2 linked regions of the Oryctolagus cuniculus genome follow. The protein of the gene in region 1 interacts with the protein of each later gene in a pairwise test. Links are inferred from orthologs where the notes say so. Each region holds a gene or a part of one and is shown on either strand. Other genes may lie near its edges.

What was found. The genes of interacting proteins can lie anywhere in the genome.
Region 2: the proteins of USHBP1 (region 1) and FBF1 interact in binary tests that used the Homo sapiens proteins (3 or more experiments, as listed by UniProt). The two-hybrid records come from large-scale screens. The link is inferred for Oryctolagus cuniculus from reciprocal best matches to the Homo sapiens genes USHBP1 and FBF1.

The regions. Positions count from the first base shown.
Region 1 is NC_091447.1:65,254,539-65,258,526, reverse strand, and holds the end of USHBP1 (harmonin-binding protein USHBP1), read left to right. Parts: intron 1-267; coding exon 268-393; intron 394-520; coding exon 521-657; intron 658-843; coding exon 844-984; intron 985-1,060; coding exon 1,061-1,216; intron 1,217-1,308; coding exon 1,309-1,558; intron 1,559-1,783; coding exon 1,784-2,008; intron 2,009-2,641; coding exon 2,642-2,739; intron 2,740-2,916; coding exon 2,917-3,039; intron 3,040-3,292; coding exon 3,293-3,488; 3' UTR 3,489-3,535; downstream 3,536-3,988.
Region 2 is NC_091448.1:4,749,106-4,752,774, forward strand, and holds part of FBF1 (fas-binding factor 1), read left to right. Parts: coding exon 1-187; intron 188-323; coding exon 324-463; intron 464-541; coding exon 542-660; intron 661-1,853; coding exon 1,854-1,976; intron 1,977-2,052; coding exon 2,053-2,238; intron 2,239-2,499; coding exon 2,500-2,676; intron 2,677-2,745; coding exon 2,746-2,883; intron 2,884-3,168; coding exon 3,169-3,286; intron 3,287-3,599; coding exon of another isoform or gene 3,600-3,661; exon of another isoform or gene 3,662-3,669. UniProt on the Homo sapiens protein: Keratin-binding protein required for epithelial cell polarization. Involved in apical junction complex (AJC) assembly via its interaction with PARD3. Required for ciliogenesis.

The sequences.
Region 1 (3,988 bases):
CCTCTAGGGAGCCCTGGCCTAGGGCGCCCATCAGACGCGGGTCCCTCACAGCCTCCGTGAAGGCGACAGCGGAATAAAGACCAGAACGCAGGGGCAGGCGCTTGGCCCGTGTCCTTAGAGGAGAGGGCGGGGCCCTGGAGATTTGGGGCTCTCCTCACCACCCCAGAAGTGGCTTTGGGCATGGCTGGTGCGTGGGTGGAGCCCCCAAGCCTGAAACCTCCCCTCCCCCACCCGCGGCCAACCCGGCATTGTCCTCACCCCTCGCAGGTCCAGGAGCTACAGGATGCTCTGATGAGGCTGGAGCCCCTGTCTCCGCGCACCCACAGCCACGCTGGAGGCTCAGGGAGTGGTTCTAGCAGTTCTGGGGCGGATGGGGAGCCCTGGGGGGGTCAGGTGAGTGCGAGAGGCGCAACCCGCAGCATCCAGGCAGGGGAGACCCGGATCCTGGCTCTGGGGGGTTGCATGGCCCTGGGTTCTCGGTGGCCATCTGGCTGGCTCAGGGCACACGTCCTCCCTGCAGGACTCCCTCTCCCTGGCTCACCCGCTGCTCCGGCGCATCCGGAGTGACTCCAGTGTGCACATCCTGGGCTCTCTCCCCTCGCGACCCCTGGCCCCCGAGATGCAGATCCTGGAGGCCCAGATGGAACAGCTCCGCGGGTGAGCGCCACCACTGCTGAGCTTTTAAGGGCACCGGCCGCTGTCCTGCCGCCCCGGGGATGGGCGTCTAAGCCCCGGGGATGGGCGTCTAAACGGGGTAGGAGCGGGGTGGAAACTGGCCCCTGGCTGCTCCCCCCCTCCAAAGAGTCCCCTCGTTTTCCCTCTCCCTCCCCCACCCCGAGACAGAAACATCGAGAAGCTCAAATGCTTCAACCGGCTGCTACTGGCCGTGCTGCAAGGGCGCAAGGGCCGGTGTGAGAGCCTCAGCATGCGGCTGAGCCAGCGGGAAGCCGAGGCTACAGCCCTGCGGCTGGCGCTGCAGGACAGGTCAGGGGAGAGGTCCCCGCGGGGGAGGGGCCGCGAGCCACGGCGTGGGAGGGCGCTCAGGACCCCCGTCCCGCAGTGAGCACCGTGAGGCCGTGTGCGCGGCTCTCCTGGCCCTGCACGAGGCCAGCTCCGGAGCGCGGGACTTGGAGGCCACTGAGAGGGAGGCGTGGCGGCTGCTGGCACAGGAGGAGGGCGGCGCAGACGCCGCGGCACCGCGGAAGGCACAGCCAAGGTAGGCGCCCGGGGACCGCGCTGGGCCTTGGGGCTCCCCGGGGCTGGCCTCCGTGATGGCCTGCGGCACCCACTCCTCCTCTCCTCCCGCAGCCCCGAGGGCAGCAGTGTGGATAAACCCACACCGCAGGAAGTGGCCGCCCTGCTGCAGGGCTATGCCCGGCGTCTGCGGCAGCGCCAGGCTCTGGTGAAGACCCCCCCAGAGCCGGGCCCCACCGTGGAGCCCACGCCCACCATGCCCCACGCAGAAGCCATGGTGCAGGCCATGCTGGAAGCCCAGCCCGGCCCGGCCCTGCCGCGGTTGGAGAAGATGGAGATACAGAGGGAACTGGTGGCCACACGGGTACACAGGGGCTGTGGTCCCTGGGGGGGGGGGGTCAGAACCGACAGAGGTGTGGTTGGGATGGGGAGGGGGAAAGGTTCTGCTGGGCTGGGAAGGGCTTCCTGGAGGGAGAATTGAAGCTGGGGTTTTGAGGGATGAATAGGAGTTTTGTTACTCACAGACCTCTCAATCCAGTTTTTCCCAAACGTGCTCGCCAGCCTCAGTTTCCCCTCCCCGACCCCTCAGGAGACCCTGGCGGACCTGATGTTGCAGCTGCAGCTGGTGCGGCGGGAGAAGCGGGGCCTGGAGCTGCGGGAGGCGGCGCTGCGCGCCCAGGGCCCCGCCCACGCACTCCTGCTGGAGCAGCTACAGTGGGAGCGCGCGCAGCTGGGAGCCGCGGGGCCCCACAGCGGCGCGGGGGACAGCAGCGGGGCGGGCAGCAGCGAGGAGGAGGAGGAGGAGCGGCCCCAGGTGAGCGGCCCTTCGGGGGTCGCTGCCCTTGGCCCCTAGGGGTTCAGTGGATGAGAGAGAGAGAGGGAGAGAGGTCTTCCATCTGCCGGTTCACTCCCCACATGGCTGCAAAGGCCGGGTCTGGGCCAGGAGCCGGGAGCTCCATCCGGGTCTCCCACGTGGGCGGCAGGACCCAAGCCCTGGAGTCGTGGGCCCCTGCCTCCCAGGGGGCGCATGCGCAGGGAGCTGGGGCGCACGCAGATCAGCTGGGACGCCACCAACACTCTGATACGGCCACGGCTGTCCCAGGCAGCAGCCCGCCCCGCGGTGCCACCACACCGCCCCTGCCCCAGGCTTCTAAACGGGGCTCTTCGCATCACCCCTCCCACCTGCAAGCCGGTGCTGCCACCAGGAATGTCCACCGTCTCCAGGAAGCCCTCCTGGGTTGCCCTCAAAGGAGCAATATTCGGCACCCCACCCCACCCCGGCCCTGTGACTTATCTCCCTTATCAGGGACTTGAGGGTCTCTTAGCAGAATGGGGGCTCTGGGAAGCGAGGGGCTCTGGCTGCCCCCCCCCCAGGCCAGCTTCTATGCCCAGGCTGGGCTGAGCACTTCTAGACAGAGGTCACCTCCCTCCCTTCTGTCTCCTACAGGGTCCTCCTGCTGTCCCCAACGCCACCGAGGGAGGCCAGGTGGGCAGGGCGTGGGACCCGGAGAGGTTAGCCCAGGAGCTGGCCGCTTCGCTCGCCAGGTGTGTGCCTGGGTGGGTTCTGCGGAGGAGGCGGGGGTGGGGACGTGTGTGTGTGTGTGTGTGTGTGTGTGTGTGTGTGGTGTGGCAGCGTGCGCCTGCGCGCAGGGGCGTGGGGAGCGGAGAGGAGGACCGGGTCGGGCCGCGGCCGGAGCCCCGCTGTCTCCACTCCCGCGCCAGGGCCGCGGATCTTCGCGCTCAGCTGCGGGCTCTGTGGCGGGAGCTGGAGCAGGTGGCTCAGAAGGGGCGCGTCCGGCGGGCTCAGAGCGCCGAGCTGAACAGCGATCTATGCAAGGCGCACAGGTGGGCCGCCGCCCCCCGCAGCCCACCCCTGCTGACCGCGGGTGTGTCCCTGGGCCTCGTTCCCCCCACTTGGAAGATAGTGAGCGGGTGCAGTGCAGGCCACGCCTTTCCTGCAGGATGCCCGGAGCCAGCTAGGACGTAGCCCCGCCCCCGCGGCGCCCCGCCCCGCCCCCGCCGCAGCCCTGGGTGGGGTGGGGGTGCTGTTCTCTGGGGTGGGGCGCTGTTCCCCGGCTCAGCCACCCACACCCTGCAGTGCCCTGGTCCTGGCGTTCAGAGGCGCCCACCGGAAGCAGGAGGAGCAGCGGCGCAAGTTGGAGGAGCAGGTGGCAATCCTGGAGGCCCGGCAGGCGGAGGAGTTGGCAGCACTGGAAGCCACGGCCCGGGCGCTGGAACAGCCCGGGTGCCCCTGCCCGCCTCCTCCCCCCCAGCTTGGGGAGACCTTGCTGTAGGCTCCACCCCCAGCCACGTGTCATAAACCGGCCTGGAGTGACTTGTCGCCCTGGGGTGCATGTGTCCTCATGGGTGGGGACCGGTTGCCTGGGCCACCGGGGTCAGGCTGTGAAGGTCATGGTCTCCCCCTCCCCCCCCCGGGACCCGGAACAATCAATCCAGGGGACAGGGAAGGTGGCAGAGCCCGAGCTGATGTCCCCAAGTCCTTTCTTTGTCCAGAAACCCAGGGCGGGCCCCTGGGGACAGGACACTCGTCCCCTGCCCATCTGCTTCCCAGGGAACAATCCAGAACAACTGGAGGCCCCCAAGGTTGGGGTTCAGGTTCAGGTTCAAGGCGTGGATGGTCGGCTGGAAGAGGAATCAGGGTTTGTGGAGGCTGAGGGCAGGCATCAGAGAAAAGTCTGGAACTCTCGATGCGTGTCCTTCCGGGGAGGGGGTGGGGCACAGGCCTGCCGGGCCCTGGGCAGCCTGGGAGCTTCCAGATCTCCCGCGGAGGTTG
Region 2 (3,669 bases), on another chromosome or scaffold:
GCAAGGACCACGAGGAGCAGCTGCAGCGGCTGAAGCTGCTGAAGGAGCGGGAGATCGACGCCGTCACCAGTGCCACCTCCCACACGCGGTGCGTGCTGCCGCGGTCACTCCCCCGCACGCGCTGCGTGCCGCCGCGGCCACCCCCCCCGCACGCGGTGCGTGCCACCGCGGCCAACTCCCACACGCGGTGCGTGCCGCCGGGGCCACCCCCCGCACGCGCTGCGTGCCGCCGGGGCCACCTCCTACACACGGTGCGCGCCGCCGCAGCCACCTCCCGCGGGGCCGGGGCTGAGGCCCCCCCCAGTGACCCGCTGCTCTCCCAGGTCCCTGAACGGCGTCATCGAGCAGATGGAGAGGTTCTCCAGCAGCCTGAGCGAGCTGTCCTCCCGCGTGGAGGCCTCGCACCTCACCGCCGCGCAGGAGCGGGAGCTGGGCGCCCGGCAGCGGGACGAGCAGCTTCGAGGTAACCTGCCCTCCAGGCACAGCAACTGGGCGTCCTGAGTCGGGGGAGGGGGGCACTGAGCACCCTGTGGGCCCCCAGCACTGCAGGAGCAGCTGGGCCGGCAGCAGCGGGACATGGAGGAGGAGCGCAGCCAGCTCCAGGAGGTCATCGGGAAGATGGAGGCGCGCCTGAGCGAGCAGAGCCGGCTCCTGGAGCAGGTGAGCCCGGCCCCTCACACCTCTGCAGCCATCCCACGGCCACGGCCAGTGTTGCCTCGGAATCCCGCCGCCTCCTGCCTCCGCATCTTCCCAGCCCCTGCATGGTCTCGGCACGCCCAGCTGAGCACACAGGAGCCGCCTGGCCACGGCCCCACCGCGAGGCCCTGGGCCATGCAGCTCAGGCTGCCCAGCGCCCCGGTCAGCTGCACCTCCCGTCACATAAGCTGGCACCTGTGGCCCTGGCCCAGCAAACACCAGTCTGGACTCCCTGCTGCCTTCATCTGTCCTTAAATAATACTCTTCCTGGGCCGGCGCCGCGGCTCACTAGGCTAATCCTCCGCCTAGCGGCGCCGGCACACCGGGTTCTAGTCCCGGTCGGGGCGCCGGATTCTGTCCCGGTTGCCCCTCTTCCAGGCCAGCCCTCTGCTGTGGCCAGGGAGTGCAGTGGAGGATGGCCCAGGTGCTTGGGCCCTGCACCCCATGGGAGACCAGGAAAAGCACCTGGCTCCTGGCTCCTGCCATCGGATCAGCGCGGTGCGCCGGCCGCAGCGCACCGGCCGCGGCGGCCATTGGAGGGTGAACCAACGGCAAAAGAAGACCTTTCTCTCTGTCTCTCTCTCTCACTGTCCACTCTGCCTGTCAAAAAAAAAAAAAAAATACTCTTCCTTTCTTTGTATTTGGTTATGATACATTTCATTTAAAAAAGCAAAATACAGGAAATAGTAAGAAATGAAAACGACCACTAGCCACAGAAGCCACTACTGGACGTAATGCGGGCCCCGCCGCGCACCAGGTAGCTGCCGTACCAGCTTCGATGTGCACCTGCTGGCTGCGGCCTCAGGCCTCAGGCCAGGCGCCGTCCTGCTGCTGCCCTGCTGCTGCGTGGCCCCAGGTCCCCAGCACAGCACTGCGCCCTCTGGTGTTCCTGGCCGCCTTGGCTGTGGGCGACAGCAGGCACAGCGCTGTGGCAGCTAATGATTTGGGGACAGGAGGTTGCTGTCCTGTGGCCCTCCCGAGCCGCTGGTTAGGAGACCTGAGGGCTGGGCTGGCGCCCCCTGGCGCCTCCTCAGCCCCACCCGCAGGAGCCGGGTCCTGGCAGGTAGCCCCCGTTTTGTCTTGGGGAAGGAGGTGTGCTGGAGAGCAGCCAGGCCTGTCTCCGGGGCTGGGAGCCACTCTTAGCCTGGGCCCTGCAGGAGCGGTGGCGGGTGAACGCCGAGCAGTCCAAGGTGGAGTCCACGCAGCGCGCCCTGGAGGAGCAGAGGAAGGTCATGGTGCAGCAGATGGCCATGGAGAGGGGGGAGCTGGACAGAGCCAAGGTGAGCGCGGCCCCACCCTCCGCCCTGACCCCCAGCGCCCAGCGACACTCAGCTCACGCCCCTGCCCCACGCGCAGACCGCCCTGCTGGAGGAGCAGAAAGCCGCCATGAGAAAGTGTGCTGAGGAGCAGCGGCGCCTGGTGGCCGAGTGGGCGGACTTCTTCACCCAGCAGAAGCTGAGTAAGGAGCGAGCCGAGCGCGAGGTGGAGCGGGCGCTGCAGGCCGACACCCAGCGGGAGGGCAGCCTCCTCAGCCTGGCCAAGGTAGGGCCTGGAGCCTGCAGGGGGGAGGCAGCACGAGTGCGAGGCGCTTTGCTGTGCACGGTCCACACCCGGCCCCTGTGCAGACGCAGGCCTTGGGCCTCAGGAAGCTGCCGTTCAGAGCCGAGCCTGCCCCGGTCAGACAGCTGCCCCCGACCCCACCACGCCTCGCAGAGGCAGGGCGGGCAAAGGAGGCCCCGGGGCCCCGCCCAGGCCTGGTGCAGCCCCTGAAGGCAGATGCGGCAAAGCTTCTGCCATCTTTAGGAGCAGGCGGAGCTGAAGATCAAGGCCAGTGAGCTGCGGGCCCAGGAGGAGCAGCTGGCGGCCGCGCGGGCAGCGGTGGAGCGGGAGCGGCAGGAGCTGCAGCTGGAGAAGGAGAAGGTCCAGGCCGCCGCCCTGCGCCTGCGCCTGCGCGCCGAGGAGGTGGAGAGCATGAGCCAGGTGTGCCGCGGGGCGCCGGGCCGGCCGTCACCCCGCCCGGCCAGCCCTGACCCAGCGGCCTTCCTGCAGGTGGCCTCCGCCAAGTATGAGGAGGGCGAGCGGGCGCTGCGCGAGGCCCGGCAGGTGCAGTCGGCGCAGCAGGCCCGGCTGCAGGTGGTGCAGCAGCAGCAGGAGCAGTTGCGGCAGCAAGAACAGCGCATGCACCAGGCAAGGCCGCCCTGCCTCAGCCCGCGCCCCTGTCCCCCCACCCCACCCGCGCGCCCGCGCCCCTGCCCGCCCCCGCCCGCACCCGCGCCCTCACCCCGGCTCAGCCCGCGCCCCTGCCCCCCCCACCGCCCCTGCCGGCGCGCCCACCCTGGCTCAGCCCGAGCCCCTGCTCCCCCCCCACCCCCCGCCCTGGCTCAGCCCGAGCCCCTGCTCCCCCCCGCCCCGCCCTGGCTCAGCCCGCGCCCCCGCCCCCGCGGCTGACTCGCCTCTCTGGGGACGGCACAGGAACATCTGAACTTGGCCCAGCAGAGGCTGCGGCTGGACCGGATCCAGCAGGATCTCCCCTCCAGCCTTGCGAGGCTGAGCCCCGGGGCCCAGGGCCCAGCAGCCCCCCGCCCGAGTGGTAAGTGGCCCGGGAGGAAGGGCGGCCTCAGGACCTCTCTTTAAAGTCACGTGTGTGTGCGTTTCCAGAATTCATTCATTTGAAGGGCAGTCAACAGAGTGGGAGAGACAGACAGAAATTCTTTAAAAAGAACTTATCTGAGAGTCAGAGTTACAGAGAGAGGAGAAACAGAGACCATCTGCGGGCTCACTCCCCAAATGCCCCTGACAGCCGGGCTGGGCCAGGCTGAAGCCAGGAGCCAGGAGCTCCTTCAGCGTCTCCCACGTGGGTGCAGGGGCCCGAACACCTGGGCCATCCTCTGCTGTTTTCCCAGGCCATTACCAGGGAGCCGAATCGGAAGTGGACCAGCCGGGACTTGAACAGGCGCCCACATGAGGTGCTGG